Drosophila melanogaster: one gene and its partner. The protein of the gene in region 1 interacts with the protein of each later gene in a pairwise test. Each region holds a gene or a part of one and is shown in the gene's direction. Other genes may lie near its edges.

What was found.
Region 2: the proteins of CG3769 (region 1) and CG11076 interact in a two-hybrid assay, tested with the Drosophila melanogaster proteins (one large-scale study listed by BioGRID).

The regions. Positions count from the first base shown.
Region 1 is NT_033779.5:9,429,199-9,445,493, forward strand, and holds CG3769 (uncharacterized protein), read left to right. Parts: upstream 1-6,200; 5' UTR 6,201-6,311; coding exon 6,312-6,515; intron 6,516-6,626; coding exon 6,627-7,529; 3' UTR 7,530-7,644; downstream 7,645-16,295. Other genes in the region: FucTB (alpha1,3-fucosyltransferase B), read right to left, coding at 1-147, 214-391, 825-1,231, 1,499-1,732; scat (scattered), read left to right, coding at 2,516-2,703, 3,083-5,717; RpS28-like (ribosomal protein S28-like), read left to right, coding at 7,755-7,985; CG33723 (uncharacterized protein), read right to left, coding at 10,813-10,968, 11,037-11,204, 11,268-11,423, 11,480-11,542.
Region 2 is NC_004353.4:1,016,516-1,032,591, reverse strand, and holds CG11076 (uncharacterized protein), read left to right. Parts: upstream 1-1,616; 5' UTR 1,617-1,781; coding exon 1,782-2,621; 3' UTR 2,622-2,881; downstream 2,882-16,076. Other genes in the region: ATPsynbeta (ATP synthase, beta subunit), read right to left, coding at 639-702; mitochondrial inner membrane protein MPV17, read left to right, coding at 3,343-3,849; PlexA (plexin A), read left to right, coding at 9,121-10,350, 12,577-13,822, 13,883-16,076.

The DNA.
Region 1 (16,295 bases):
AATGGGGTTACGCCGATTTAGTTTGTGTTGGCGGTACGAATTGTACAGCTTTTTGTTATCCGCCAACTTATTGAGATACTCTACCAATGCCTGAGGATTTTGAAAGTCGTTCACAAAAATTGCAGATTTATTATTCGGTTCCCAGTCCTGCAATATTTGTAGAATGTAATAAAAAAAAAATTGTGAAAATTATTATTTGAAATACGGACTTACTTTTATGGTGGGTGAGCCAAAGTAAATTGGAATAACTCCCATTATCAAAGGACGCCAAAACTTTTCGGTAATATAATCCGGACAGGCAGCGTTCTCAATGGCAATCATGAACTTGTATTCGGACAGGAAACGCAGCAACTCCGGTGAATATAAATTATTCAAGTAATCCTTCTGCAAGCTAAAACAAAATCAATAGGCATTGAACAATTTTTACGATTTCGATTGCAAATTAGATATTAGTGTTTTTCAGCTCGACATGAAGGGCATCCGCATCTTCCGTTGCTATCTTGGTCAGAATCATTTGAACTATTTTGAGACTCCATTATTGAATCGTCATCACAGAAAAGAGGTTCTTCTAGATCTTTATGATTTCCCTGACGACAGCAGCATTCTCTGGAAACGTTGCTCATTTGAGGCAGCGAGCCGTACAACTGCACCCAGCACTCTGAACAACAGACCTTGGGAAGCTCGTTGGCACTTGGTGATGTCATGATGGCAAAGGAATTTTAGAACGATAGTGTTTCACGTGATGTGTTTGTCACGCGTGTTTGTTATGAGTGTGTAAAATGTTTGGGATTATAAATAGGATACAAATGGAATAGCCTACTTGCCTCTCTGGCAGATCTCTATTCCGTAGGCAGCTGCCGTAGGAATCGATCGGAAGATGTTTCATCAGTTCCTTTACGTAGTCCTCCCTTCCAGACATCGTGTCGCAGTCGCTTTGGAGGAACACCACCGATGTGGATGGACGGTATCCGTACTTTGACTTGCCGTCAAACGTAACATAGTAATCCTTCGAAGTAAGCGCCTCGCCACTGGGCAAGTACATCGTAGTCAGCGGCAAGTTGCTGTAGCGGCTAAACGTGGATGTGAAATGGAAGTGGCGAAGGAACTCTTTATTGGACACAAAAGGGGTGTTCCTTGGTGATTCTTCATGCAGTAGGGCCCAGATTTGGTGCTCGTTCCGAGGCAGGGGAAAGTCTCCCGTCTTTATGTTTGAGCCGTAAAACAGGACGCCCTGTGAAAAATGTAAGAGACATTCCGTTATTATTATATCAAATTACAATGAATCTACAATTACATATCTTACTGAAGTAAGCGAATTTGTATCTGCAGTGCTATGCATTTCTCAGTCTAAGCTATGTGTTTACATATTTTTCAGAACTATGGTACAGTATCTCAAACAGTTGGAGCCCTATATTATTATTATTTTCAATCCAATTCTTATCATGTCTGCCGGATGTGAAACAAAAAGAAATCTAGACTTTTGGTTTTTGAAACGAACCCGGGCCCACGGACGGCGGCTCCGCTTGTTGGTGATGCGGCAAGTATGAATTCCGCACTGGCGCTGCACGTCGTAATTCCAGGACATATCCCTGGACCACCAGACCAGCTCCACAGGACTGTTGAACTTGATGTTTTCGTAGTTAATGATATTTTCCGACCAGAAGAACAATACGGTCGCCCCAACCATAAGCAGCGCAACCAGTGCAATTCCGTAACGTTGTGCCAGTCGCATGATTATCTTTGCAGTTCTTTGCTAGCTAGATAATCAAAATTATTCGCTGCACCACTTCGAAAAGATTCAAAAAGCCGGTGCGCCGCAATTTCGCTCGAGCGCCCCAATTTCGACTGTCAGTCGTCAGCTGATTTTGCTCAGATGTAGTGTTGGATAACGTTTGGTATTTTTGAGACACGATTTGCACGATACGATTGTATGCCAGGAAATGTATAAACATTTTTATTTAAAAAATAAAACAGTTCTGCCTGAATGTTTAATATAATTAAAACATATAATTATTATTCAACTTAAATTTTTAAAGCATAATTCTATTTATTTGATATTTTGTTTTTTAGATATTCAAATTACATTAATTATATTAACTAAACATATACTATATTTATTTTCTGTTAAAATTAATTACTTTCATATTTTAATTTCGAGCTGCTGGCATCGCGCGCTTGACCGTTTCCAGCCCTCGCCAGCTGCCATCCAGTCCGCCGCTGTTTTACAACACTGAACTTCGTCATAATATTGTTCCACTTACAATTGCTCAATTAAGCGACCGCAGAAGCAACAGAAACACCCATAAATCGGACGAAATGTGCCCATTCCAAGGCTAGAGAACGAACAGCCAATGAAAGTGGACTTATTGCGGAGCAACCAAAATGCAACATCTGGCAAGAGAGGCAGACGAGCGAAGGTAGAAAACAAACATTGACATAACACGTCAACGATTGGGAGCAGGTGAACCACCGGGGAAACCATACGGCGCGGCACTTTAAACGCAGAGCATGTGTTATGGCCACGACAAGATCCGCCGGAGGTGCCGCCACGTCCGTTGATACTGGACCGGCAGCAGGGAACTCGGGTATCAGAAAGCTATCGACGGCTAGCGTCGGTGGAATTGCCGGAGGAGTGGCGCCCAGCTGGCAGAGCTGCTACTACTGCACCCGGGAGCACTTTAAAAGCATCAGCGACTTCGTCAAGTGAGTGTCGTCCAAATCTTCCCATATAATAGAACTTTGAGCAGCCTTACGAGTCAATACCATTTTTATCTTAACTTTATATGCATGTATGAGTTAAAACGATAAATGCCAGGTAAATTGCACAGACAGGTAGAAATAATTAAAATTGTATAGCTGCAGTCGAACTCACAAACCTCGTTTAGAGGTGTTTTGTACGTAAGTTATATTTGGGATTGTCTAAAAGTGATTATACGGAAAACAATACAACTTCTATATATGTAATTTTAAAGATAATAGAATGTGTTGCAAATTCAATTGGAATTTAATAGAATATTGATTCATTAAAGTTACTCAGATCTTATAAAGCTGTTTTAATAAATGCTCTCATTACGCATTACAGTCACCTGCGAAATCGTCACTGTACCCGGGAGGGTGGCTCATTTGTGTGCCGCTATGGCTTCAATGGAGTATGTGCCTCGCTTCCACTGGACGGAGTCTCAGATCGCGATTACGACGCCCATGTCGCCAAGTACCATGTCAATCAGCACACGCGCGAAATGCCTCCCGAATGGGGAGTCTACTCGGCGGCCCAAAACCTGCCAGCGGTGCTCAACGATCCCTCGCGAGGAAAGCAGAGTAATCTGTTTACCAAAAAGTGGGGCGAGCATTTTGTGGAACGAAGTCATGTGCCCCCATCACCCCGATTGCCCGATATAACCCATGCGGATTTTACCGTGTATCTGGGCAGCATAGGGAAGCGATATCGTTGGCATGAGCGGCGGCAGCAACAACTGGAGCGTGATAAACCGCTGGAGAATGGAGCACAAGGAGCACCTGGACCGGGAACTGGTGGTCAGACACCAACACACTTGAGTTCTGTGCCCGAGATCTTTCTGAAATCACAACTGCAGCTTCATCATCCGGCAACCTTTAAGCAGGTATTTCCTAATTACATGCAAACATCGGCTTCCAGTCCGGAAAGTCATCAGCAAACTGGTCGTCAGCTGCAGGAACAGCTGAGTCACTACCTGGACATGGTGGAAGTTAAAATAGCGCAACAGGTATCGCAGAAATCGGCTGCGTTCTTTCACGCCATGACCACGCAGCACGCTATTCTGGCTGAGATGGAGCAGGCGGCCGACCAAGTACGTCAGTTGCGGGCAGCACTGGCCGAACTCCACAGCCACTCGGTTGTAGACAGCTTCAAAGTGCTGCGTTTCGCCCAAAGAAGACAGCACTATAACCTCACACTAGACAAACTCCGACTGATGGCCACCGTACACAAGACGCAACCGATGCTGCAGCTCCTACTGGGCACCCAGGACTATGTGGCAGCCTTGGATTTGATAGGCACCACGCAGGAAATACTTTCCGCCGAACTCCTTGGCATTCACTGCTTTAAGCATTTGCCTATGCAGCTTAGCGAAATGGAGAAGCTTATTGACAAAATGCTTACCACGGAATTCGAGCGCTATGCTGCCGCCGATCTAAATCGACCGTTAACGGATGCCCTCCGGGAAACCGACAGCGTTTGCGCCGAGGAGGATAAACTCGTAGCTATTGTGATGGGCCTGTTGCGCAAGCAGAACTTCTCCTTTGTCCAGGCTTACCAGCAAGAAGCAATCGCCACCATTCGAGCCATCATAAAACAGCTGCTGATTGAGGTTTTGGCACGGAGTGACAGCGATCAGGAGATCAGTTTAACGGGCCACGGAGAGCAAGCCTTGGAGCTCACCCTTCCCGAATGGATTGCTCTGCTCCAGCGCTCCAGCCAAGCTTTGGTTTCCATTCTCGAAAGAATTAAAACTGTAGTTGGTATAATGCAGCAAACAGCGGACGCAGCTGTGGGAGCCCAGGACGCAGTGAATCTGATAGATTCAGAAGCCTTTTTGAGTCCGGGACACCATGAGCAACTAAAAAACCAATTGCAACAACTGCTTCAAGCCGTCTGCCACTACTGCCATGAGCGTTGTGCCAACATTGTGTCCCCTCAGAGCCTGGAAAGGAGCTCAGCTAGCGAGCAAGAACTTTTCCAACTATCTGAGATTGTGGATCACTTTGGCGAGACAACAAGGAGCATTTGTGGAGTGGCCAGTGTGCCCCTCCAGCTGGCCCTCAAAGTCCAAGCCTCCCGATATGCTCAACGATTCCATTCTGAACGAAAGCAGAAGTTGTCCTTACTCCTGGATCAGGAGCGCTGGCGCCAAGTAGACATTCCGCACGAATTTCAGAGAATAATCGAACGTATGGCCGCCGGGGACTATGCCAAACCGGAGATGGGCAATCTGATAAGCAATGGAGCAGGCAACCCAGTGCTCTTGGTGGAAGGCAAACAACCGTACACGTTGGTCAGCGCTTCGCTAATGCTCATCCGAATGTTGTATGAGTACGGTTGTAGTGCACATCGGCTGCCATTGTTAGCCAGCTATCACGCCAGGAATGTGGTGGACCTGCTGCGCTGCTTCAACTCAAGAAGCTGCCAACTAATTATCGGAGCAGGAGCAATGCGAGTTGCTGGGCTAAAAACCATAACGAGCACCAACCTGGCTCTGGTTTCGCGAGCACTGCAACTAGTTCTATGGCTACTGCCCAAGCTGAAAGAGCATTTCCAAGCGATGAGCGGATACGAAACTATCGAGCGGGACTACCAGGGTCACATCAAGGAGATCGAGAATAAAATACACGGAATTGTATCCGAGAGATTGGCAGCTCAACTGGATGCCTGGGAAGCCAGACCACCTATACCTTCTCAGACATTCCGTCACATCTCGCGTCACCTGGTGAAACTTCACGAGGCCATCGCCGGTGTGCTGCCGGAGGCACAGATACACGAAATCTACGGCGTTGTTCATCGAAACTTTAAAGACAAGCTGCGGGAACAACTGCTCAAGTTGAATGTGAACAACAATGGGGGTCCGCAGCACGGGGTGGTGACATCAGAGCTGACCTTCTACATGGAGACGCTGCGCACACTGAAAGCCCTGCCCGCCGAGCAGCTAGACAACGGGATTCTGGAGGAGATCTGGCTCTACTGAGCATTCCGAAGTATTCCATATGGTTGCCGCGGAAATCCTCCGACCGCCCAGCCTAGTTCGTCTTCATTGTTTGTTATCCTTGTTTTATTTATACAATACCGATTGTCGCGTCCAGTTCAGTCTATCTTGTTTGCCGCTGTACATTGCTTGTACTTTTATGTTCCGCCCTATAGCAAAAGGAAATTGGAAATGTATCTCTTTTGTTGCGCACTTTTTTAACACTTAAGCTTAAAGTCGATGGAAGGCTTATGATTAAAGAATAGAAAATAATCAACAAATTTCAATGCGTACAAATCAATGGCGGTAAACGATTCCCTTGTTCCTTTAGTATTATTATCGTTAGCTGGATTTCTATTTGGAATATATATATTTTTTAATGTTTAATTTAATCAGATGACAACCAATAAATAAAGGAAATCCAAAATTAAAGCTATCCTTTATGTTCAAATGTATATTCAAATTTATGCAACTTAGGGGTGAAAGTAACGGTCAGTTTGATATTGCCTAGAGTTGCCACTCAGTCGCAGTTGCTAGTAGCAACCGTTTTAAATGCAAAACAAACCGCAGTAGTTTAGTTTATGCCCTTTTCCTGCGATGCGCTTGCCGCTAATCTTTCATAGCCTGCACCAGCGTCTTCAAAAAATGTTTGTAAAGAGAACTGAGGGCGGCGAAAGTGCCACGCCCAGCATTCAGGACATCGCCGGTCGACTGGCGGAGGAGCAGCAGCGGCTTCGCCAATTGGAGGCCACAACGACTCCCAAAGAGCGGACAATTCTTGTCTTGGGAAGCAAGTGTGTGGTAAGCAATGGATCCAACTTATAAATCCACGTAAAATCATATTCCAAAAAAGTTATACACTAAAAATCTACAAACCCCTTTTTAAAAATATTATATTTTTTATTATTTAAGGGTAAGACGACGGCCATTAATAAGTTCTTTGATCGCGAGGAACACGCAACGCGGCCAACTCTAGCACTGGAGTACAGCTTTGGACGACGGATTGGCAGTGGAAAGTCACCGCAGGTGATGAACGTTTGGGAACTGGGCTCCCTGGACAATGCCGAGCAATTGCTGGAAGTACCAATGCGGACACATGGTTTGCAGCAACTAGCCGTCATCCTTATGCTAGATCTCTCCCAGCCACAGCGATTTTGGACGGATTTGGAGTGCGCATACAAGGGACTGAGGGATACGGCGCAGCAGATGATGGAGAAGGTAACACCGGAGCTTAGGGAAATCCTCGAACAGCGAACAGTGGAGCGAGTGGGTCAGCAGAACAAAGATTCGGAAAAACTAGACCCTCTGCCCTTTCCAGTGATAATTGTCGGTGGGAAGTACGATGTGTTTTCTGGTTTCGATCCTATTATCAGGAAGCACACCTGCCGCTGCTTGCGATCGATGGCCCACCTCATAGGTGGCGCATTGCTGTTCTATTCCCAGAAGATGCCCAAGTTGGCCAAGGTCCTGAGGGACACCATTTGTCACTTGGGATTTGGCAGTCCTGCTCATCCGTTCCGCTCTCATGTCGTGGACTTCAATGAACCACTGTGCATTTGGTTTGGAACGGACAGTTGGTCGAAAATTGGTGATACTGGCGCCCAAAGTGTGGAGCGAATTGGAGCCACATTCGGAATGGAAGTACCGCAGCTGCAGCTAGAGAAGCAGAAGCTAAAAGAAACCACCGATCCGGCCAAGGACCCTGGTTTCAAGGAGTTAGTCATCGATGAGATCCGATCGCAGAAGAACGAGGAACTCGCAGGATTAATGAGGGATGTCTTGCTGCGCGGAAAGTTCGAAAGTGTTCAAACTTAATAAGCGGCTGGGATTAAGCAAAGATGTACCTCAAAGTATTCTAAAATATCCAAAACAAAACTGTCATTTGATATTGTAAGTTACATACCCCTAAATTAAATGTTTAGAAAGCTGTACTTTTAGTGTCTGGAGTTCATTTTAGGTCTGAAAGTTAAAATTCGAAAAAAATTCAGCATTAAATTTATCAATTTATTACCACAGCTAGTTTGACTTTAGTCAAAAAATATGCCCCAACCTGTCGCTTCCAAGGCTCGTGTCATAAAAATTCTCAATCGGATTGGAGCCCGAGGCATTCTAACCGAAGTTCGTGTGCAGCTGGTCGATCAACCCAAGATGCAATTCATGCGGACGGTCAAGGGACCTGTGCGTCTGGGAGATATCGTGGATTTCGAGGACACTGAGTTGACATGGCAATCTTCGAGCAGGAGCAATAGCAATTTTGAAGATATATGCTAGGTGAATGCAGAATAAATAAAATTGAGAAAAAATACCTAACTGCGAAAATCAGCCTATAACGATTTTAAAATAGCAACTTTGCAATTAACCAGTAAACTTTTAATTAAGGGTAGCACAATTCCACAGAGTGGCAACGCCATGTCAGGGATGCAGGCTGGCGAACTGTCAATCACATGTCTTGAAATGTACCGTTATAAAGGGTGAATCTGTGCTCTCTCTCTCTATCTATCTCCCCAGCTCGCTCGCGCCTTTGAGGAGCTTGTGCTCCAAGCCGTTGGCGTTTCGGTTTGGTTCGTTTGGTTTTCAGTTCGCTTTCCAGCTCAGTCGCTGTCAGTCGCTCTGCGCGCTCTTTTCTCGACGGTCGTGTGTGTGCGTGCACGCGCGGGTGTGTGTTTGCGTGTGTGTGTGTGCGTCGTGGGCCATTTGTTTGGTGCCAATTTATTTGGCCGAAACTCCAATGCGAGTTGTTCGGAAAATTATGAATTGTGCTGGCCCAGAAACATGAGAAGCTTTGCGGCCCTGAAACACTGTAATTAAAACCTGCTGGATTCGGCCTCCCCACAAAAAAAATAAAAAGAAACAAAACCAAGTCTCCAACTTCACACTGTAAAGTTGTGTAATCAGTCCGACGAAACGGAGTTTCTCGCTTTGTTTGTTTTTCTCGGCTTTATTTTCGGCAACAACAAAAATATATTTTTAAATTGCTTTTAAGCTTTCGGAGTTTTGTGGAAAAAGCTTCACGCCAACTTCATAACTTGACAATTAAATCATCGCAGGTGAGTTCAAATAATAAATTTCACTCACGTTCATACATACATATATACATACAATATATACTACTTAATACTACGAAAGCTGAGCAAATAAGCGCTGCTCCAATTTTTTGGTGGGTCACTATAAAAAACAGACCTCAAAACACCAAATTATCGATTTTCTTTCGGGAGCTCCGTTTCTGGCGCTCTTTTTTTTATGTTATTCTGCGATTTTGTTCCTGCACGTGAACGTGTGTGCGTGATTGGCATGGTTGTGTGTGTATTTAATCAAGAACAGAAACTGTTTTCCTGCAGCTTACCGTTAGCCAAGCAGCCGCATTTGCATTTTGTCACATTGCCAAGGCAACGCGACCCAAACGCCATATGGTCGCGATCTGATACCCTATACCAATGCACTTAAGCTCGGCCATTTGCGAATACCCGTGGGATTGGCGACACTCTTATAGTGGATGTATTTTCATCTCAAGAGATCGACTATGCACAGTATAATATTGCAATATGCTACGAAAATGTTGGTTGGGTCAACTTTCTGGCACACTAAGGGGTACCTAAAGATTAACAATCATATGTATTTAAGTGTAAGGGTATTTAACAACCATGATTCAATGTGTGTTCCTAATTCATTTTATTTTCCTTCTTGATGTTTATGTTTGTTGGAATTGCGACGCTAGCATTATTGGGATTTCTTCTGTTTATTGTTCTTGCCTTATTTGTTTTTTCATTACTGGCACGCGTTTCAGTTTCATCGTTCTTTTTTGCATCCTTTGACCCCAATTGCAGTTCCGTCTTGTTTTGATCGCCAAACGAACTACATACATACCTCTTGAAATCGCTTTCGAACATTGATTTTAACGCATTACGCCCGTTCGTTAATAAATTATTGAAGTTATGACTTCAAAGAAGCGAGTTTATTTGCCAAATTTGGATATGCCCACGCTTCAAATTTGAATCAGCAGAAAAAAAACATGTTAATCGCCCTGTAGCGTTATATTTCGTCTGGAAAAGAACAAAGCAAATGCTCGAAAATCTAATTTTTTTTTGTATCTTTAACCCGAGGGCGTGGAAACCAAAATGTATCTGTGTACCTTAGTCACTTGCCTGTATTTGTGAGCGATGATTAATCATAATGATTTGTATTAAGACCCCTTAAACCACGCTGTCGGCAATTTCTGTTGGTAACAGTAAAGCTTCTTTCAGTTACTTGGTTTATGTTCATTTTGGCATTGGTTACTTTCGAAAAGCCTTTCGCAAATACAACGACTTTACCTCATATTAGTATAAACATACTTATACATGTACATACATATTTATTCATACAGATAAAGCATGGCCAATAACTTGCACTCGAAAATGTTAATTGAACCATGAAAAAGCGTATAAATTAGAACTTTGCAAATATACACCAAAAATGCGAATGAAAAAAAATCTGTCAATTAAAACTGCAAACTGGAATTTGTTATAAGAATATATAATTAACACTGTATGACTAAATGGCATCCAAAAAAGTGTGAAGTGAAGATCACGCAATTAAGTGTATGAAACAATTGAATAAGAAAAAACAAGCGCAATCAACATTTATTACTAAATGTCAAATATAATTTAAGATGGCAATTTTGTCGCATAACAAATTATTTGCTTATAGCCTTTCAGGCAACTTCAATTTGATTGGGGTAGGATTGAATGATTGAGTTTTTCATGACTTTAATTGAGGCAGTGAGATGTTAAGAAACTGGCAAAACGGGCAAAATGTTGATGAATTGGTTAACTCAGCTGCAATTGTATACATTAATAAATAAAACGCTATCATTAGTGGGAAATTATTTTATTTCCTAATAATTTTGTTATCAAATTTAATTAAATAATGTCCATTCATTATCTACTGATAATAATCAATCGTGTGGTGATGTGCTTATCTATCTGATTTGATAATACAATTATGTTAATAAATGGTGGCCCAATGAATACTGCAGCGCTGATGTTATTTTATTTGGCGGAGAACTAAATTTGAAATCATGAATAATAGTGACAGTCTATTAGTGTTAGTAACTTATAATTTAGAACAGAGTTATATACACTTGAATTACTCCGCAATAAATATCATTTAGCATCCAATGAGTCTCTAACATATAATCACCTTCCGGATAAGGGAGAATTTTCGTAACATGGTGATTAACCGTATCGGTGGAAACTTTTTCCACAATAATATCGTTCTAATGAGGGGCAGACATTTGAATTTTATTAATATAGGTATAACCATAAACCCTTTAAATATACATACATTATATGGACAGGAGTGGTTTAAGTTTGAATACTCCTTAATCATGTCAAAGAAATACTTTGCTACAGGATTTGCCTTTTGATGTTGGAAAAAATGGCAAGCATCTAGGGTTTTATTGTATAGAAACGGCCTGTAACCATTAAACCTTTTGTACAATCCAAAGTTGACCTAAAATGTTTATTATATTGTTAACTAGTAGGAAAAAGGTTTAAAAAAATATGTTATATTTACCCGTGCTTTGGTAATTGGCAGTTTGTGCAGTGAAACCTTTGTCGAAATATATTTATATGTTCGATTTATCGATTTCAGAGTGCATTGCGTAAATTCGGCAAAATCTTTGTTCACAGACCTACACTTCAAGTTCGTAAACTCCACTCGGGGTTTTATCTATAATATTCGGGGGTTTCAGATTTGTTATTTCATTATATATAATAGTTAATTACCTCTTTTACTATTAACATAAGCAACAGTAAAGAAACTAATAAAGTTAGCTTCGTGTACATCATGTTATATCGGTAGACTCTGACGAACTGAAATCTATTAGCTCAGGTAAAAATTTATGGTACATAAAATTGGATTTTTAAATTGATCGATCAGAGATATTTCGTTTTAATGGAATAATAATTAGAACTTTAGAGCAGCACAGAGAATGCTTACATTAGGGCTAAAAACGTGCGTAACTTAATTTAATTGTTAAAAAACGCCGAATAATATTAAAATGTATAAACATTTTATAGTCATAAACTTCGTTTTAAAATTTTTCGTACCATCACTTATCATTCCCACAAAAAGTTCTTTTGGTCACAGAATAAAATGTATTTGGTCGAGCAAAGACCCTGATTTTACTTCCAGCTTAGAACTGTTTGTCTAGAAATTTATCAAGATTTTGACGACGAATGACAGGCAGACAGGAAAAAGCTTCTTTGTCATGCGGCATGGTCGTAAATGTAATGGCATCTGCGAGATACAAAGATACATTCGCAGCGCGCGCATTACGTGCATAAATTTTACAGATGCGCCGCTATCCAAATGTCATATGTCATTGGTAATGCAGAAAGGCCTGATGTAATGGCAAATGTCAGCCAAGGATAGTGGAGCATAATACGATTGGCTATCGGATCGATATGCAAATGTTATTGTTAACCAGATGAAGTTGAATAATAATATCAAGAACATCCAATACGTTAAACATAATTTGTATCGTATTTCTTTCAACTGTAAAAAGTTCCCCGAACTAAGTGACCCAAAAGTTCTCAACTGCATGTTGCATCGACTTTTTAAAGCGGAAACTTAAAGTTAGCTTAACATTAATTAACTGCTCCCCAAGCATGACCGGAGTGACCCTTCCTTAACCATGTTCAGAGTACAGAACCAAATAAAATCAGTGCCCTGTCCCAGTGAAAAGGTAACCCAGTTGCATGGAGCACGATGAACTGCAATCCCCACTGAACGAAGGAAATGGGTAGCGACTGCAGTCGCAGCTCACTGAAGCATCAAACGACCAGAAGGTGACTTAAAGCTGCTACCCGGAGCCTTGAATCCACAACTTCCGATTCCACTCCACTCCACACTGCTCTACTCCACTCCATTCCATTCCGATCCGTCCCGCAATTGCATTCTGTGTGCGTGCCGGGAACGAGTACGAGTATCTTGCAGATACGTATACGTTCCTCCAGTGCTCCATGGTCATAAATGAGCAACCAAGCACGACCGCCTCGCGGCATCGACTGACATCCCACTTAAAGAGTGGATGTGCTCCACCCGTAAATCGCATCCACAGCCCTTCCCATCCCGCCACCAAAATATAAACCACGGATACACTCCCAAACATATATGTATATACCTTCGGTGACAAACGCCAAGTGTGCATAACTTTTAGTAGAGCATGAAAAATTAACTTTAATTCGATTGTAGGCAGTTCCCAGATGGCTCTTCGTCCATTATATCTACCGGCGACGACGACGAAGTGCCTGGGTGCAGTTTCGTTCGCCGGGCAATTAATGTGTGATAATTAAATTGTGATATCAGCTGAACAATTTACCAATTAAAGCAGCAAAGAGCTGCTGATGACGATGCTGGGCATGAAGAGCACTCGGCTAATAGGTGGCGATGCTCAAGATAAATTGCATGAAATACAGCATGAAGATTAAGAGAATAATGTATTTATTAAAACTTGAATATCCAAAAATAAACATAGAAAGTTACTATAAGTTTGAAATATTGTTGTATTAAATGTTCTCACGTTTCACATCATAAGCGGCAATCTAAAACCCTTAACACCTGACCTACCTCAAAGGATTGGGGGCCAAGGCAGAACACTTCTCACGTCCTTCCTGGATCGTAGAAACTCGCACTGAACTTCCTTTCCTATTTCGCCACTCTACACTCTAGTTTGTGATCCAGCTAATGAGCAATTTAGCAGGAGCACTCACATCCTCGACCGTCATCCTTTCGCTGCCAAAGAGGCAGCGAAGCGTTAAGGCAACTGTCTGGCGGGCAAGGATAATGCCACAGACACTTGAGCCGCGATGGGCTTAGGTCAAAAGGCAGTTCATGCGGCTATAAAGGTTGGTTCCCAGCCTGGAAAATTTGCATGTTTTGCACAATATCTCGAGCAACCCCCGGCGCCCAATCAGGGGGGATTACATTTTTGGTGGTGACTGCTTATGCTTTATGAGCAATTAATATGTCAGTTAGCGGCGGCTTGGACAGATTGATGGGGTTGTTGGCTCGAATCGAGTCGAAAACGAAAGCAAGCCGCAGCAATTAGATGGAGAAATGTCAACGGCAGGCACGAACTGCCAGTAACTTGGAAAGTTTTCCTTCATTTTCCTTCAGTGGCTCGTGCTCGGCACGTTTTTGCATGTTTTCCGGCGCACCCTCGCTGATTTTTCTGTGCCTGATCAGAACTGGACTGGACTGTTGGGTTAACAAGGACACTCCCTGCCATTTGTAGGCCGCCACGAGCGTGCGGCACATTATCCTTAAGCGTTGCCGCGCCAGACGCTTGTGTCTTTATGTCCCAGCTACAAGTGTATATGCTGAGAACAGCTTTTTCTCTGGCGAAAGGAAGGAGAGTAGAGAATTCGGAGGTGGTTTGCGAATCAGGACATGGCGCGTGTTCTGCCCAAAGTTCCCGTGGGAATTGCCAGAAATCTCATATCGTGGGCGTGCGAACAAATATCTGTACCTTGACTCACTTTGGTAAATGTCAATGTGGTTAAATAGGGTTGACTCGATTCAAGGCAAAGGTATTTTTCTTATTTTGATATTATTATTTTTGTTTCCAAAAATAACATTAAAAACCTTTTGCCTGTCTCAAAAACTCGAAGATTTTAGCCACAAACCAAAAAAAAAACTTACCTCAGCCAATAAGTTATACATATATCATCACTTACAAAACTTTTTCGAACTTTATCCAGGCAATCAATTTCAATCAATTCCACCTTATTCGTTACCTGCAGTCCTTGAGCTGAATTTAATTCCTGTTCCGTTCAATACCGAAAAAGCAATTCCAGAGATGAGAGGAAGTAAATTTAAAAGCCCAACACCCACACACCCAAGAGTATACAACATATACATACATTTGTATGTACGGATACGGAACACACTCGAGTCCAATCAACCCACAGGCAATAAGAAAAAATATAGAATTTCAGCAGTTCAGAGAAGAACTTTAATAGACATCCGGCTTTTATTATGCTTAGTCTTATTATTATCGTTTTCCCACCTTCAAGGTGTGTTCTCTGATGATGACGGAGAGGATGCGAAGCACCTCAAGTGCAATTGAAAAAGCCAAAACCGCACAGAGCCGACAATAATAAAAGCAATAATACCAACCAAAAGCAAGCGCAACAACAAATGAATGTACTATGTTGATATTTGCGTTGGCCAAGGAAACATCTTTGGCGTGGTCGTCGAAGTCTGATGGAAAACGTGGAGGAAAATCCACAAGACAGTAGAAGATAGAAGCTATGGCTTTCAGAACGAGGAGGACTGCGCCTCATTAAGCGCCCGACGGCGTTTGGTTTATGGTCACCAGCTAGATGGCGGATTAGCAATTGCACAACTATACTCGTGCCACTACTAAACTATACTATACTATATATACTATATGTTTGCTGTCGCTGGCACTTTTGCGGGGGTGTCGGTTTCGGCGTGGTCTAAAACAAGTTTAGGCGTTTCAATGTTCCTCATTAATCTTGTGGCATGCCCCACGAAAACAGAGAACACCAATCAACAGAAGTGCCACGCCTTGAGGTGGTGGCCCGACTTGGATACCATACCATTTTACTTATTGATTGACTCTTGCGGGGGCTTGAAATTTAGCACCATCCGTTGTATAATTGCTATGTGTAAATTTAGCGGATACACGTTGCGTTCCTTAACTGGAATAGGCAATAAGCCGATTATCTTTGATAGCAAATTAAACGTCAAACCAGGAAATGTAAGAAACAATTAGCTTACACATTCATTAAACAGTCGATTAATAAACAAAGTACCATTGCTATTGCTTTTAGTAACTTAAGACTTACAAATGGTCCGTTTCAGTTTAAGGAGACACTTTCTCTAATTTTTCCCCTTGAAAAGCGTCACTTTAAACAATTCCCCAGAATGCAAGTCTTCTGTCTGAAAATACACACAATTTGACATTCGACTGGCACTTTTCGCCCCTTTTCCCCAAATAAAAACGAATGTCTCGAGGGGGGGGGGGGGGGCTTGAGTGCAAACCAGAAAAAAAGCGAATTGCATTAATGCAATTTTAGCATCTGAAACCGTGCTGAGGAAAACTAAACGGGCACGTTCCAATTGGTGTCCGCGGTCGTCGTCAGCATTCTGTGTCTGCATCTGGATCTCCATATGCATCTGCATCTGCTTCCATCCAGTGAGTTCTGAGCCCCGAATGGAGCAGGGAGGATAATTGGACACCAGACATGGGAGCCCGGAGTCCACTGGAATCGTTCCAAATTGCCGGCGGATGACTCTCTGTCCATTTGCAGAGAAGAAAGAGTAAAAAAAGAAGAAAAAAAAAACGGAGGAGTATCTGATGAAGAAATGCTGTAAAATGGAATTGCATTACACACACTTTAGGTGCCACTTTGTGTGGCAATGCGTGGAGGGGTGGGGGGTAAATCTGAAGGCGAAGCCATGAAGTTGATGATGCGCCAACAAATTGGATGCGTGATGGCTAAGCGAGAGCTGAGCCACAATTGATATATTTATAGTTATGGCCAATAGGGACCCCCCTGTAACTTCATT
Region 2 (16,076 bases), on another chromosome or scaffold:
GTAAAGCTAATTGGTATCATTTTTTAATAAAAAGTACTATCAGTTTATTGATTTTCCTATCACTAGATACCAATATATACAGATTTATGTTATACTTAACGAAAGTGATACTAGTAGAATACATCATCGTAAAACTTAAACAGTAACAATTTGGGCATCAATATCGACAATTTTTAATATTATTTTTTAAGATAATGATGAACAATTAATATTATACTATTAATTATTAATTTAATTTTTAAGTAACTTTAATTTTCAAAATACTTTGTGAAGAATTCAATTGCAATATAACGAAAAAAAAATTTATTCAATTTAAAACGTCAAACAATATCGGCATACAATATATGTACATACCTAGTTAACTTACAGAAAGACGTACACGCAAATGTCTGACTAAAAAAATCTTTTTTTTTTTCAAAAGTCGTTTAAATTGAGTACTGTTATATATGTTATAAAACAGAAGTAACCTTAAATCATTCAAAATTGTTATGTAATATTTTTTTTCGCTCGTAACATTTTATTGAACGATAGGTTATGTTCGACAATTGCGCTATTAGCCAAAGCACATATTTTGTGCTGAACTTCGCAATTTAATACAATTGTTATCAATTAAAAATTTTTATTTTTGTGCTACTTACACAATTGCCCCAAGAATGGCAGCAAATTCTTATCGGCTTTAGATGCAGCACGTAACGCGAACATTTTTCTCGAACTAACTGAGAAGTGTGCGGGCGAGCAGAAGTCCTAGTGATGAGCAAATCGGTAGTCGCGATATATTGAGTATTTACGCTTCCAAAACATATCGAGGTTTTAGTATTTTTGCGTATTCAGACCATAATGTGGACTTACGTTGTTGTTACCGCACCAGGAGAGTGTCCGAATGCCACTTTTATATATACACAATGAACTGTAACTGTTGTGGTTGCCCGACACTAACGACTGATACACCCATGAAAAGGTGGTTTAATGGATTGCAAGCTGATGTGGCTGAGTAGAGGTAACTGCACCAACAAAAATAAGTAAAACAAGAGAGAACGCAAGTACGCAAGAGAAATTTAAATTATTTTATGGCTTATGGATAGAATTTGGAAAATATATGACAAAAAATGATATTAATAGTGGTAGGCGTGACAGTTTTGGGCGGCGTGTGGGCAATAGATTGTGCGTTGCAGCATCGATGAAAAAACTTGCCCTGATTCTTCGTCTCTGGAATGTTAAGTCTCAACTTGTTAAATCACTATCTAGCTTTCGTAGTTCCTGTGATCTCGACATACAGAGGGACATGTGTAGATCGACTCGGCTGGTGATCCTGATATGAAGATGATGAAGAAGATATGGTTGAAAAAGCGAGTAAACAATTCTTAGTCAGTCTGATTGGCAATTAATTTTTGTTTAAAAGATATCAAAAGCAAACAAAATTTTTCGATATTTGTCTTAATACAATTTTTGTCGGCTTGTCTGCCTGAAGAAAAGCGTTATTTTAAAACCTAAAAAATAAATTTGTTTATGTTAAACTGGTTGGTATGGGAAACTTAGGGTTTATTACTTTTGCTAAGCCCTTCCATTTTAGCGAGAAACAGCTATAAACATTTCCTTCCTACCCATCGCTAAAATCTAATAGTTTATCTAGGTTAGGGGTGTTTACGCTTACAAACACATAACTACAATATTTACTCCTTCAAATCATTTTAAGTTATCGATGCATCGATATTTCCCTTGTATTTTTCCACCTGTACCACGTGTGGTCATTTTCTGCAATACATTGATTTCCCCAACGCTCAATGAAAATAAGTAAAAAACTCTTTTCCCGCCAGGAGGAAAAACCTCGGAGCCAATTTCTGGAGGAGGAACAGTACGTGAACCTGACCTCAGGCGCGGCTGCTCGTGAGTGCTGCGGGGATGCTCTTTGGGATTTCGATGGTCAGACCGACGAAGCCTGGCTGGTCCAGTGTCCCAAGGGTGCAGATCCACATCTGCTAGTCGGCAAGCGCATTAGGCTTCCTGGCAGGAAGAGCGTGGGCGATCTCCAGGTTCGTGCCGTCAAAAACTCGACGTTACAGAGCGAGGCACTGGGCTATTTGAGATCTATGGGTCCCTATGCCCTCCGGAAAATTCCCTTTGTCGGCTATGTGGTAATCAGCAAGCGTCTATATGATAAACAACCGCTACCAGGTCAGAAGGAACATACAATTCAAGCTGATCTAACGCTACCCAAGTACCTATTACGAGAACGACATCCGTTGTTCGGGCGCAGCTACAAGCAACGCATCCAATTACCGAAGATGATTTCCACATCTCTTAGTCAAGCAGACGAGAAATTCTTGGAAGCTACTGCCAAGCTTCGCAGCACTGCTAACTACTACAAGATCCGGAGCAAGCTGCACACCACCACACAGACGCTAGAACAAAAAGAGGACGATGTGCGACAGTCGGTGCTTACCGGTCGTACGCCGCAGTTCATGAAGGAAACAATAATCCCGGATCTATATAAAGATCTCTTAGACGAAGAGGACATCGAGAAAAATATAATGAACCCAGCAGAGGAAGTTGGTCCTGCCAAAATGCGCAAGAAAAAATTTAATTCAAACGGTCACAAAACGGGAAATGCAGTAGGGAAATAGACAAAAGAAGCTTAAATTAAATGAAAGCAACGGCCGCTAATGACCTGGACGAAGTAATTGCACAAGAAGGCTTAAAAAAGTCGAATGGAAACCATTAAGAATTAGAGTTTACTTAAGATAAATTCACATACTTACGTAATTAAATAAAAATATGTAACGATTTGGATTATAGATTATCACATATAAGCTGCATAAATTAATGTAGTCATTTAATAACGAAATAAAATTGCACTTTGTCAAGGCGTGTTCACAGCACTATGAACAGCTGACGTTAATATCAGTACCTTAATAGTTGCGGAGAAAGAGCGGTGGTTAAAGTTAAGATTTATATTTAAAAGAATATTAAGAATACGCGTTGCGCATGTTCCGAAAGAGATTTCTGTGCTAAAACAGTTCGATACTTAAAACGTTTAAGTTATTTTACATTACATTACATTAAATTGCATATTGAACGCAATTTAACGTTTTCTCATTCGGCATGTAACAATTAAAAGGACTCACGCGCGTTAAAAAGTTGAATACGCTAGCATAATTTAATTTAAATAATTATTCAGAGTTGCCAATTTTTGTCACTTCAGCAATTGACACCAATCACTTTGCGATTATTAGGCAACCCTTTAAAACTACACGAACAACAGCAAATCGATTTCTCAGTTGTGTTTTAATTGCGTATTTAAAACAATTTGGATCGGGCTATGAATGGAACTGATCTCTGATAAGGATGAAGAGACTTAAAGCGTACCTAAAGGATGGCATCAATGTGGCGGCGGTAATGTGTCTGGGCGATACTATATCCCAGTTCTTTTTTGATAAGAAATCGTTGGACGAATGGGATGCGGGGCGAACCCTCCGTTTCGGCATCGTTGGACTGGTGTTCGTTGGCCCAACTTTGCGCCGGTGGTACCATTTTTTGGAGTCCCGGGTTCCCAAAACCTACTCGCCAATGCGGCGGGGCGTTACCAAAATGCTGGTCGACCAGACCCTTTTTGCGCCACCCTTTACCATGGCCATGTCTTTTTTGGTGCCACTCTCCAACGGAGAGCCCATCGACCGAATCCGGCAGCGCATTCTTGATAGCTACCTATCTATATTGGTCCGCAACTATATGCTCTGGCCGGCCGCACAGATGCTAAACTTCAGATTCGTGCCGCTGGGCTACCAGGTGCTCTACGCCCAGTTCATCGCCCTCGTATGGAACTGCTACCTCTCCATGATACTTAATAGCTAGGGCACTAAGTTCCCCGCATAAGTAATACGGTGCCTGTGTATCAAATTTAACAAATACATTATTATCCTTATCTCGACATGTGACTTCGGACTGGATTTGGTTGTCGTTTTTTTAGGGGTATTCGGCGGAAAGGCTGTACATATAGAATGGAATTTATAGTATACATGTATTATAGGCACTCGAGTTTTAATCCTACAAAGCACTTCAAAAAATTTTGCTTGAAATCTTATTTCCCTCCGTTATTAGTCGGTTGGGCATGTGCTTCTCAAAATATTTACTCGATCATTTAAATTTGAATTGGATAAGCAAGATTGTATCATAACGACGTCACGCCCAATCTAACGCCCACAATTTCTGTGGGCGTTGTGTTGTTATTTTGTTTTCATTTAATTATCTGTCATGATATTGACATACCACAAAAATTTTGCCACACCCAAACTGTTATGCCCACTCTTAAGAATTATTTTTCGATTTTATTTTATAAATTCTCTTGGCTGTTTCTATCGATTTGCCAAACGTATTTTAGCCACGCCCACTGTTCCCACTATCTGAATAACGGGTAAACCTTTTATTTCTGACATTTTAAGGCAGATTGTGGGAGGTAGGGTTAAACAACAAACGTTCTGCAACAATCTTGAAAAATGTGGCGTCACTTGAATCTACATGCTCTGAGCTCTCTAGAGTTCATAGTTCCGAAAATATCAATTCTCCATAAGTTTGTTCCTTTCTACATTTCTATTTTACGATTTAGGGGAATAAACTTTTGAAAAGTGCGTCAACGGTATCTTCTGACAGTTTCCCACAAGTTGTTGATATCCTGTTGTTTAACGTGAGATAGACGATTTATGGATAGAATTTACCTTAGTAGCGCCAAAAATACCGCAAACTGCGCACGCACGAAGCTGAGAATGTAAGCAGCCAATAGTGGAATACACTTCATGTGTACATGTGCAAATAAACACCCTGCAATTCAATTCATTTAACTTTTATCTATATGTCATTTCTTAGAAAAAATCTCTATTGCTAATCAGCCCTCAAAACAGTGAAATTATTGATTATTTTTTTTTCTTACTAACTAACTAAGTCTCTAACTACATGGTCATAACAACAATGCTTTAAATCAGATGTGTAAATATGCACATCTGCAGTCGGTGTCAGTTGAAGATATTTCAATAGGTCATAAAATGTGCACAAAGGCCAACAAAAAAAAGTTGTGCCATGAAATTTTAAATAACAAAATTATGCTTTGATACAGTTTGCGCACATATTTGCTGTGGATTGAGGAGCTGTTAGCATGAAATTCTTAAGTCCAATTTTTCAATTTACATTTTCATTGTGAACAGACCTTTATAGTCTCATCACACTATCGATATTAAAGAAAACGAATATATTAAATATATTTATTTCATTTTTTAATAATGCTCAAGGAAATTAGAGAGATAATAAATATTATCTGGCTTGGGAATCAAACCCCTTCCAAATTACTTTCGTACGAGTCATTACACAGTAACAACAAGACATTTTCCATGTACTCGTGAACATTACATTTTGAAGTGTGCCATCGGTTAATTTAGGTATCGATAGTGATAGGTATGAACGGGTCTTAGGACTAACAACTAGTTGTTTAATTCTCTCCTCTGCCTTATAGTATCGATAACATTTACATACAATGATGTGTAAATTAAAGTGTGGTGTAATTCGAAAATAGACAGAAATTATGTTCAGTGACTTGCGATGTAAAGAAATAATAGTTAATGAGTGAAATATAGGAAAACAAACAGTAAGCCGGATTTCCGATTGTTCACTAGAAAACTATCGCCGTTCCATAATTCAGATATACATACAAAATTGTCATTTTTTGCTAAATATTAAAAAAAGTGTAATAAAATCATTTAACGTTCCAGTGTATATTGCATTGCTTTAGAATTATTAAGAAAATACAAATTTTCTTTAACTGGTATACAACGTTGTATGTATGTAAAAATTAAAAACGGCCATGCAATCATTTTGTTTTATGTACTTAAGTATATATTATATTTATGTAAATAGTATTTTTAAAAAGTGTGGCTCTTATTTAAATACATTGTTAGCTGCGTTTCACACATACGAAATTAAATGCATCATGCATTGGGAAAGATAGCAGCAAAATAAAATTTGCTGTATATGATGTGCATGTGTATGCATATAAATATATACATTTTGTATAGATGTGTGTGCACCAGAATATCCCAAAAATTCCAAATGCAAAAGATCGAGTTTTACTTCTCTCAATAATCTTTGCCTAAAAACATTTAAACTAAGTGCACTTACATTTTACCGGTTTATTATATGTATTTAAATTCGGGCGCTGGCCAAATTTGTATGTATGTATGTGCAGTATGCATATATGCATTTGCAATGAAATTACCAAATATTGTGCACGCTCGCCCAAATTTGAAATCCTGGAATAGCCGTGAATATACTTTAAAACTACATAAATTCTCTATAACGAAATGGCTTGGAATAAGTGGCCTGAGTGCGAATATATGTAAGTGGAAAAAAATTGAACGTTTGGAACTGAATTTGTTCAAAGTTTTACAATTAATGTGTTAGGTAGAGGAAATTTTTTATTGCAAAAACGAGATATGCTTATATAGCATACATAGGAAACTCCTTAGCTTGGGATTTCCATTCCATTAATATTTATAGCATGATATGGATTCATGTTTAATATATATGTACAGTTGCGGTCAACATATTAGCGGCAGTAGCGGAATATATTTTGGTCGGTTATAGTCCTATTCGGAGACAGTAAATGGTAGAGCACGTTGGTTCATGAATTATGCTTTGGGTGAGATTTTCATATTAAGGAGTTGAGCCAGTATATCTGAAGCTCCATCTTCAGTTCCGTCACCGGGTTCTTGCTTTGCCGAACCAAGCGCTTGGATGCTTGGAGAGCATCCAAGTTGGACATTGAAGGCTTTCCTCGCCGCGTTTCGTTCTTTTCGACAAACAGCAGTGATTTGCGGATCATTTTGTTTGAACAACCGACAATGCGACCAATTTCAGCGTAGGTTTTACCTTCAGAGATCACGTTTTTAATCAAATTTCTTTTTTCGACGGTACAATGCTTTCCGTGACCCATGACTAGAGAATTTTTGGTCTTCGTTTGGAGCAAATTCAATTAAAACCTTTAATGCAACACCTTTTTTTCAAAATTTGTCGTAAAAAAAACCAAAGCAATCACTCCCATTAATTTTATTCAGCAAATACGTTTTCAGTGCTATTTTTGTTACCGCCTCATTTCGCGCACTTTTGCAGCAAGTGCCCAAAAACAAAAAGAACCGTTAAATTGAGAGACTAAAAATTTATTGCTCAAAGAGGCAACATATGGTACTTATTATTCATGCAATCTGGCTTAAAAAAAAAAAAATTTATAATTTTTTTTAGGATATCAATTTTCCACCTGCAGTAGTGCTATTATTTTAACCTTAACTGTAGTTTCAAAACTATTTGTACGACATCATTTTAAACTATGCGATAAACTACCCATGTTTCAGGGAAGTACACTTACAGCCAACCCACAGTTTTTGTTTTGACGTGATTAAATTTTTAAACTGAGTTTTTTTGGCTGTGAAGATTTTCAAAATTACGATTTATTGGGTGTTCACGAAATACATTTATAATCTATATGTAACAGCATTTCAATGTTTGGTGATCCACACAAATAGAATTCGAAAGAATACTATAGTCGAGTTCCCCGACTCAGATACCCGTAACTCAGCTAGTGTGAATGCGAACGCGAAATTGCTTTATTTTTCTGGGATATCAATATTAAGGAATAAAATGAGAAAAAATTTAAAATTTGTTTTAAAATGTGAGCGTGGCAGTTTTGCGCGGTTTTAGGGCGTTAGAGTGGGCGTGGCAACATAGGTTAACAAACTTTCGCTCCGTATTTGTCTTTAGAATCTGTATGCTGAATCTCAACCTTTTAGCTGATATATACAGCTGTGTTCATAAAAATAGCAGTGCTTGGGACTTGCGAGTTTAGGATAAAAAATCATATGATTTAAAGTTGTAATGGGAATTTTTTTCATAATTTTATTATTATATCAAACAATTCAACATATGTTTCACTTTTATTTTTTCAATAGATATAGATTAAAACAACATAATAGGCAGAAATTCTGGTGTTCACTGAAATAGCAGTGATATGAAAAAATAGTAACAACATGACTTAGAACTAACATAGTTTTTTTTTAATGTGTTAATTAGGGACTAATACCTGGTTGGATTGCCTTTTTTAGCCAGCACAGCCTTACACCTACTCGGCATGGAGTCCACGAGGACGTTTGGGGGAATTTTTGCCCATGCATCCTGCACAACTTGCCAAAGCTGAATCTTGGACATCGGGGAATTCTTCGACACGTATTGTTTAATGTCCCCCCACAGGTTTTCAATCGGGTTTAAATCGGATGATGGTGCTTGCCACGGCATTGCATCTATTCTATTTTGGGTGAACTTATTCTTAGCCGATTTGCTTCTGCGTTTCGGATCATTATCCTATTGGAATGTCCATTATAAGGGCATATTCCATTCAGCATATGGCAGTAAAACATCACTAGGTATATTTACATACCATTAATCATATGTATGGGACCCACACCGTTGTATGAAAAACAGGCCCATACCATATTTATGTCCACCGTGCTTAACATTCTTGAGTGTGTGGCTTGGGTTGTACTCGGTCTTTGGAGGTCGTTGGACATACTGTCGTGAACCAGTTCCAGTTCATATTTTTGACTCATCAGTCCAAAGGATATTAAGCCATTTGGAGACTGGACAGTTTCTGTAGGTTTTAGCGAAGTTTAACCTTGCGTTCATTCGTACATGGCCAGATCGACTCGGCTATTGATCCTGATCAAGAATATATTTTCTTTATATGGTCGGAAACGCCTACTTCTGCCAGTTAAATAATTATCAACGAATCTAGTATACCCTTTACTCTACGAGTAACGGGTATATATATATATATATATATATATATATATATATATAACTACTTTCCTTATTGTTTTTTCAGGTTTACATGATGGTCATACAAGTTATTGCTCCAAGTTAAATTATCTTGAATGGAACGGATAATAAAAATTGCAAGAATGACACCAACGCAAAGGAAATTTTAATATTTACGTAAAATTTCAAATAAATAAGGGACATACAAGCGCCTACAAGTAACAATTTCATAAATAAGGTAGCTTTGATAGTCCTGTTTAAGGAGCGATTGTGGAGATGAATTTTGTTCTTAGTGTGTTGTTAATAGCAATTCTTAAAGATAAGTATGATTACTGGCTGCCATCGAGGACAGGTTGTCAAACCCTGGCAGCAAATATATGGTCTGACAAGACGACTGCGCAAAATGAGCCGATAAATTTGACTAATGCAAATGCACCGATAAAGAATGCAAAGAATCTGAATTCTACGATTACAAATGTAGCTGCGTTTGACACCAAATTGAATCACCTATTAGTGGACACCATTACTGGACGAGTCTTCGTTGGTGGTGTTAACAGGTTGTATCAGTTGTCGCCTGATTTGGAGCTTTCCGAAACTGTGAAAACGGGGCCTCAAAATGATTCCGTCGAGTGTAGCATTCTTGATTGTCCATTAAATGCAGTTCGCAGTCCGACGGACAATTATAATAAGGTCTTGCTCATTGATCGTGCAACTTCAAGACTTATTGCGTGTGGATCACTATTTCAAGGTACATGCACAGTTCGTAATCTTCAAAATGTCAGCATAATTGAGCATGAAGTTCCTGATGCTGTTGTGGCTAATGATGCCAACTCCTCAACCGTAGCATTTATTGCGCCGGGACCTCCACAACATCCGGTGACTAATGTGATGTACGTCGGAGTTACATACACAAATAATTCACCGTACCGCAGTGAAATTCCCGCAGTTGCATCCCGCTCCCTCGAAAAGACTAAAATGTTTCAGATTGCTTCCTCGGCAGTTACAACTGGAACGAGAACTTTTATAAACTCATACGCACGTGAAACATATTTTGTCAACTATGTTTATGGATTCAGTTCTGAGCGATTTTCTTACTTTCTAACAACACAGTTAAAGCACAGTCACCATTCTTCTCCTAAAGAGTACATAACGAAACTCGTACGAATATGTCAGGAAGACTCGAACTATTATTCTTACACTGAAATTCCAGTGGAATGTATAAGTGATGCTCAAGGCGGCACTAAATTCAACTTGGTTCAGGCTGGATTCTTGGGAAAACCTAGCTCAGACCTGGCTCAAAGCTTAGGTATATCTATTCAAGATGATGTCCTCTTTGCTGTTTTTTCAAAAGGAGAAGGGAATACACCAACGAACAATTCTGCACTCTGCATTTACTCATTAAAATCTATTCGTCGAAAGTTTATGCAAAACATAAAATCCTGTTTTAACGGAAGTGGCATGAGGGGCCTGGACTTTATATCACCCAGCATGCCATGTGTTCTAACGGTAAGTATAGTTTTATTGACTACTTTAGCTTCAAAGTAAAATCCTTTTAAAAAGTAATGTCTTATTGTAAAGTGCTCAGTGTTTACTTAATTATTTCTAAGCCCTTTAAAGTTAATTCCCACGTTTCGTCAAATTATATATATATATTTTTATATATATATATATACATGTATTATATATATTTATATTTATATTTATATTTATATTTATATTTATATTTATATTTATATTTATATTTATATTTATATTTATATTTATATTTATATTTATATTTATATTTATATTTATATTTATATTTATATTTATATTTATATTTATATTTATATTTATATTTATATTTATATTTATATTTATATTTATATTTATATTTATATTTATATTTATATTTATATTTATATTTATATTTATATTTATATTTATATTTATATTTATATTTATATTTATATTTATATTTATATTTATATTTATATTTATATTTATATTTATATTTATATTTATATTTATATTTATATTTATATTTATATTTATATTTATATTTATATTTATATTTATATTTATATTTATATTTATATTTATATTTATATTTATATTTATATTTATATTTATATTTATATTTATATTTATATTTATATTTATATTTATATTTATATTTATATTTATATTTATATTTATATTTATATTTATATTTATATTTATATTTATATTTATATTTATATTTATATTTTTATTTTTATTTTTATTTTTATTTTTATTTTTATTTTTATTTTTATTTTTATTTTTATTTTTATTTTTATTTATATTTATATTTATATTTATATTTATATATATATTTATATTTATATTTATATTTATATTTATATTTATATTTATATATATATTTATACTGGAAATATTATTTTATGTGATACACTAGATTCGTTGCAAAGTGTGTAACAGCCAGAAAGAAGCGTTTCAGACCATGTAAAGTATATATTTATTGATCAAATTAATAGACGAGTTGAAATGGTCATTTCCATATGAACGCCTCGATCTCAGGAACTATAAAAGCCAGAGATTAAGCAGGTAGAATCCAAAGAAATAGACGCAGCCCAAGTTGATTTTTTAAATGTTGCAAAGCAATATCTTACGGAGTTTTGAGAAATGTCTGAAAAATTCCGTTACTAGTAGAGTAAAAGGGTATACTAAATTCTTAGAAAATGTGCTTCCTTGTGTGTGACGTGACCATATAAATTATATAATTTTTGATCAGGATCAACAGCCGAGTCGATCTGGACCGTGTGTCCGTCCGTATGAACGTCGTGGTCTTAAAAACTATAATCGGACAAAACTGACACGTTAAAAAATTGTTTTGATGTTTGTATTAGTCTTGTGAATTTTGTATCGAACGCCAAAAAATTGTCCAAAACTGTCACGCCCACACTTTTAAAAAAATGGTTTTCCCAATTTTTACAGATATCCCAGAGAATATTGAAATCTTTCACACTTTCAGCTAAGTAACGAGTATCTGATAGTCGGGGAACCCGACTAGCATTTTCTCTTGTTTTTTTTTATGAAGAGTTTTTTTTTAGTAGAGTAAAAGGGTATACTAAATTCTTAGAAAATGTGCTTCCTTGTGTGTGACGTGACCATATAAATTATATAATTTTTGATCAGGATCAACAGCCGAGTCGATCTGGACCGTGTGTCCGTCCGTATGAACGTCGTGGTCTTAAAAACTATAATCGGACAAAACTGACACGTTAAAAAATTGTTTTGATGTTTGTATTAGTCTTGTGAATTTTGTATCGAACGCCAAAAAATTGTCCAAAACTGTCACGCCCACACTTTTAAAAAAATGGTTTTCCCAATTTTTACAGATATCCCAGAGAATATTGAAATCTTTCACACTTTCAGCTAAGTAACGAGTATCTGATAGTCGGGGAACCCGACTAGCATTTTCTCTTGTTTTTTTTTATGAAGACATCCAGTTTTAGAATTAGCATTCGTGGAAAAGGCAATTTAAAATAATTTATTCTCGCATATAATGAGCTAAAAATATTATTTAAAGGTACTTCTTTATCTATAGGCGTGGCTATTCGTTATTCGTATGCCAATATGACTGTCCTTTTACTTCAGCTATTATGCTCTTCGGAATCTCATATCCTAAGAATTATTTTATCTTAGCAAGAAAATGAAATATCAGTTGCTTATTGGTAATTTTTTTGGATGCTGACAAATTGATTTCAGAAACTGCAAACCATTGGAGAGGACTTCTGTGGATTAGATGTAAACTCACCTTTAGGAGGAGAAACCCCCATTACTTCAGTACCGGTGGCCATGTTTAACACAAAGTTAACTTCTGTTGCTGCTACGAGTACAAGCGGGTATACCGTTGTCTTCGTGGGGACTAGCGATGGATTTCTTAAGAAAGTTGTAATCGAGTCTTCATCTATTGCCAACGAGTATGCTAGTTTTGCAGTAGATTTAGGGTCTGAAATTAATCGGGATATGCAGTTTGACAACCAAAACCTTTATATATATGTTATGTCCAAAACAAAAGTATCCAAGGTTAAAGTATTTGATTGCTCTGATTACAAGACATGTGGAGATTGCTTAGGTGCTAGAGATCCATATTGTGGCTGGTGCTCATTGGAAAATAAATGTAGCCCACGCTCCAACTGCCAAGACGACGCAAACGATCCTCTCTATTGGGTTAGCTATAAAACAGGGAAATGTACAACAATAACAAGTGTTGTGCCACACCAGCTACAACGTACTACAGCTCGAACCTTAGAGCTAATCATAGATCATTTGCCTCAGCTGAAAGAGAATTTAATATGTGCTTTTACTACAGAGGATAAAGCCCTTTTCACTAATGCTACAAAAAAACGAAATGGCGTAAACTGCACGACACCACGAACGGATATGCTACCCCAAATTGAACAAGGGAAACATCACTTTACTGCCAAACTATCTGTTCGCACCAGAAATGGACCCGACTTAGTGTCCACGGATTTTACTTTCTTTGATTGCAGTACGCACTCTTCTTGTACACGTTGTGTGTCCTCGGAGTTTCCATGTGATTGGTGTGTTGAAGCTCACAGGTGCACACACGACACAGCTGAAAACTGCCGGAACGATATTTTGGTAACAGGTGTTAGCCGGATAGGTCCTAGTTACAGATCAGGTCCCGGATTTTGTCCAACGATCAACGCTACAGGTGATGGAAGTGAAGTACTTGTCGCTGGTGGTACAAGCAAATCCATTAAAGTAAAAGTTCATATTATTGGGCAATTTATAGTTCAAACGCGGTTTGTTTGTCAATTTAATATTGAGGGACGTGTAACTAGTTTAAACGCTCAGTTGTTGGGTGACACCATTTACTGCGATAGCATGGAATTTCAGTATACTTCTAGATCGCCCAATTTGACAGCAACTTTCGCTGTAATATGGGGCGGGTCGAAGCCACTTGACAATCCTCATAATATACATGGTGAGTTGTATTTAGAATAAGATTTTTAAAATTTTACTCTTAAAATTTTATGTTTTGCAGTTGTTATATATCGATGTCGAGAAATGGCCGACAGCTGTGGTATATGCTTGGCCCTATCTGAAAAGTACAATTGCGGATGGTGCTCGTCTACTAATACATGCGAAGTTGAAGAACAATGTAATAAAAACAAAGAGGGGAAAACTGATTGGTTAAATCGAAGTGAAATTTGCCCAAACCCTGAAATTCATACATTCCAACCAAAAACAGGTCCCTGGGAAGGAGGAACAAATATAACAATACGAGGAATTAATTTAGGCAAAAACTATAACGATATTTATTCAGGAGTTCGAATAGCTGGTATAAATTGTATGCCGTTTCCTCAATTTTATATTGACACTAAGCAAATAGTATGTACCGTGGATAGTCCTGGAGAACAGATGTATAGAAATGGCAAAATAGTGGTACAAATTGGGGACTACCGTGGTGAGTCCAAAGAGGACTACGAGTTCGTTGACCCGAAAATTTTGGATTTTAATCCAAAGTTTGGTCCAACTTCAGGTGGAACCGAAATACATATAACTGGAAAGCACTTAAATGCCGGCTCTCGTATACAGGCATCCATAAACGATCACTTACCGTGTAAAATACTAAGCACAGATTCTTCTCAAGCAATATGTCGCACTTCTGCTTCCCCTGGTATTATTGAAGGAAGACTAAAAATGTCTTTTGATAATGGGCCCCGAGAGTTTAATGACTACAATTTTAAATATGTACTGGATCCTACAGTTGAACACGTTAGTTCTGGACCAAGCGGGCAAATAAAAGTTCCAAAAGGAATACCAGCAGGCGGTATACGAATTTCTGTAACGGGTACCCAATTTACCAGTATACAAAATCCCAATATTTATGTAGTGTATAATGGAGAGATGTATGCAAGCCCATGTCGGGTGCAATCGGATACGGAAATGGAATGTGCATCTCCAGTTGTTGATGTGGACAGCCATGTTATTGAAGCGGAAAGGCCAATTCTTCTTGAATATGGGTTCCTAATGGACAATGTTTTGCGTGTTCAAAATTTATCTAAGGTTCATAACAACCATTTCGAGCTTTACCCAAATCCAGAGTATTTTATATTCGAAGAAAGAGTTAAGTACTTTAAGAGTGAATACTTAACCATAAATGGCCGAAATTTGGATCGCGCTTGCAAAGAAAGTGATGTAGAAGTAAAGATAGGAAATGGATTTTGCAATATTACATCACTTTCAAGACAACAACTAACATGTAGACCTCCTTCTGAAGCAACAGCAACCAAAAGCATGAATGGACCTGAAGTAATTGTTCGTATTGGAACTTCGCTAGAGTATCGTATCGGTATACTTAGCTACGAATCGTCTAACATCATTTTGGATTGGGGAGAAAATGTAATTTTTGCTGTAATAGCCACAATTGTTATCTTGCTGCTGATTTTTGTTGCTTTGCTTGTGGCTTATAAAAAGAAAAGTTCGGAATCGAGCCGAGTTCTTCGAAACATGCAGGAGCAGATGGACATTCTGGAGCTACGAGTCGCAGCTGAATGTAAAGAGGCCTTTGCCGAACTCCAAACTGAAATGACTGATCTCACAGGCGATCTTACTTCTGGAGGCATTCCATTTTTGGATTACCGGTCATATGCAATGAAGATTCTATTTCCAAACCATGAAGACCACATTGTACTACAATGGGAACGTCCTGAGCTTCTTCGGAAAGAAAAAGGCTTACGTATTTTTGGCCAACTAATCATGAATAAAACTTTCCTCCTGCTTTTTATACGAACCCTGGAGTCCAACCGATACTTCTCAATGCGAGAACGAGTTAATGTGGCCTCCTTAATAATGGTCACTCTGCAATCTAAACTAGAATATTGCACAGATATATTAAAAACTTTATTGGGAGACTTGATCGAAAAATGTATAGAAGGAAAGAGTCATCCAAAGCTCTTACTACGACGAACTGAAAGTGTGGCAGAAAAAATGTTAAGTGCTTGGTTTACATTCCTTCTTTACAAGTTTTTGAAGGAATGTGCTGGCGAGCCTTTATATATGCTTTTCCGAGCTGTGAAAGGACAAGTAGACAAGGGTCCTGTTGACGCTTGTACACATGAGGCAAGATACTCCCTTAGTGAGGAAAAACTTATACGACAGTCTATTGATTTTCGACCAATGAACGTTTATGCAAGCATTATACAGCAGCCAATATTTTGCAATAACTTAGATAT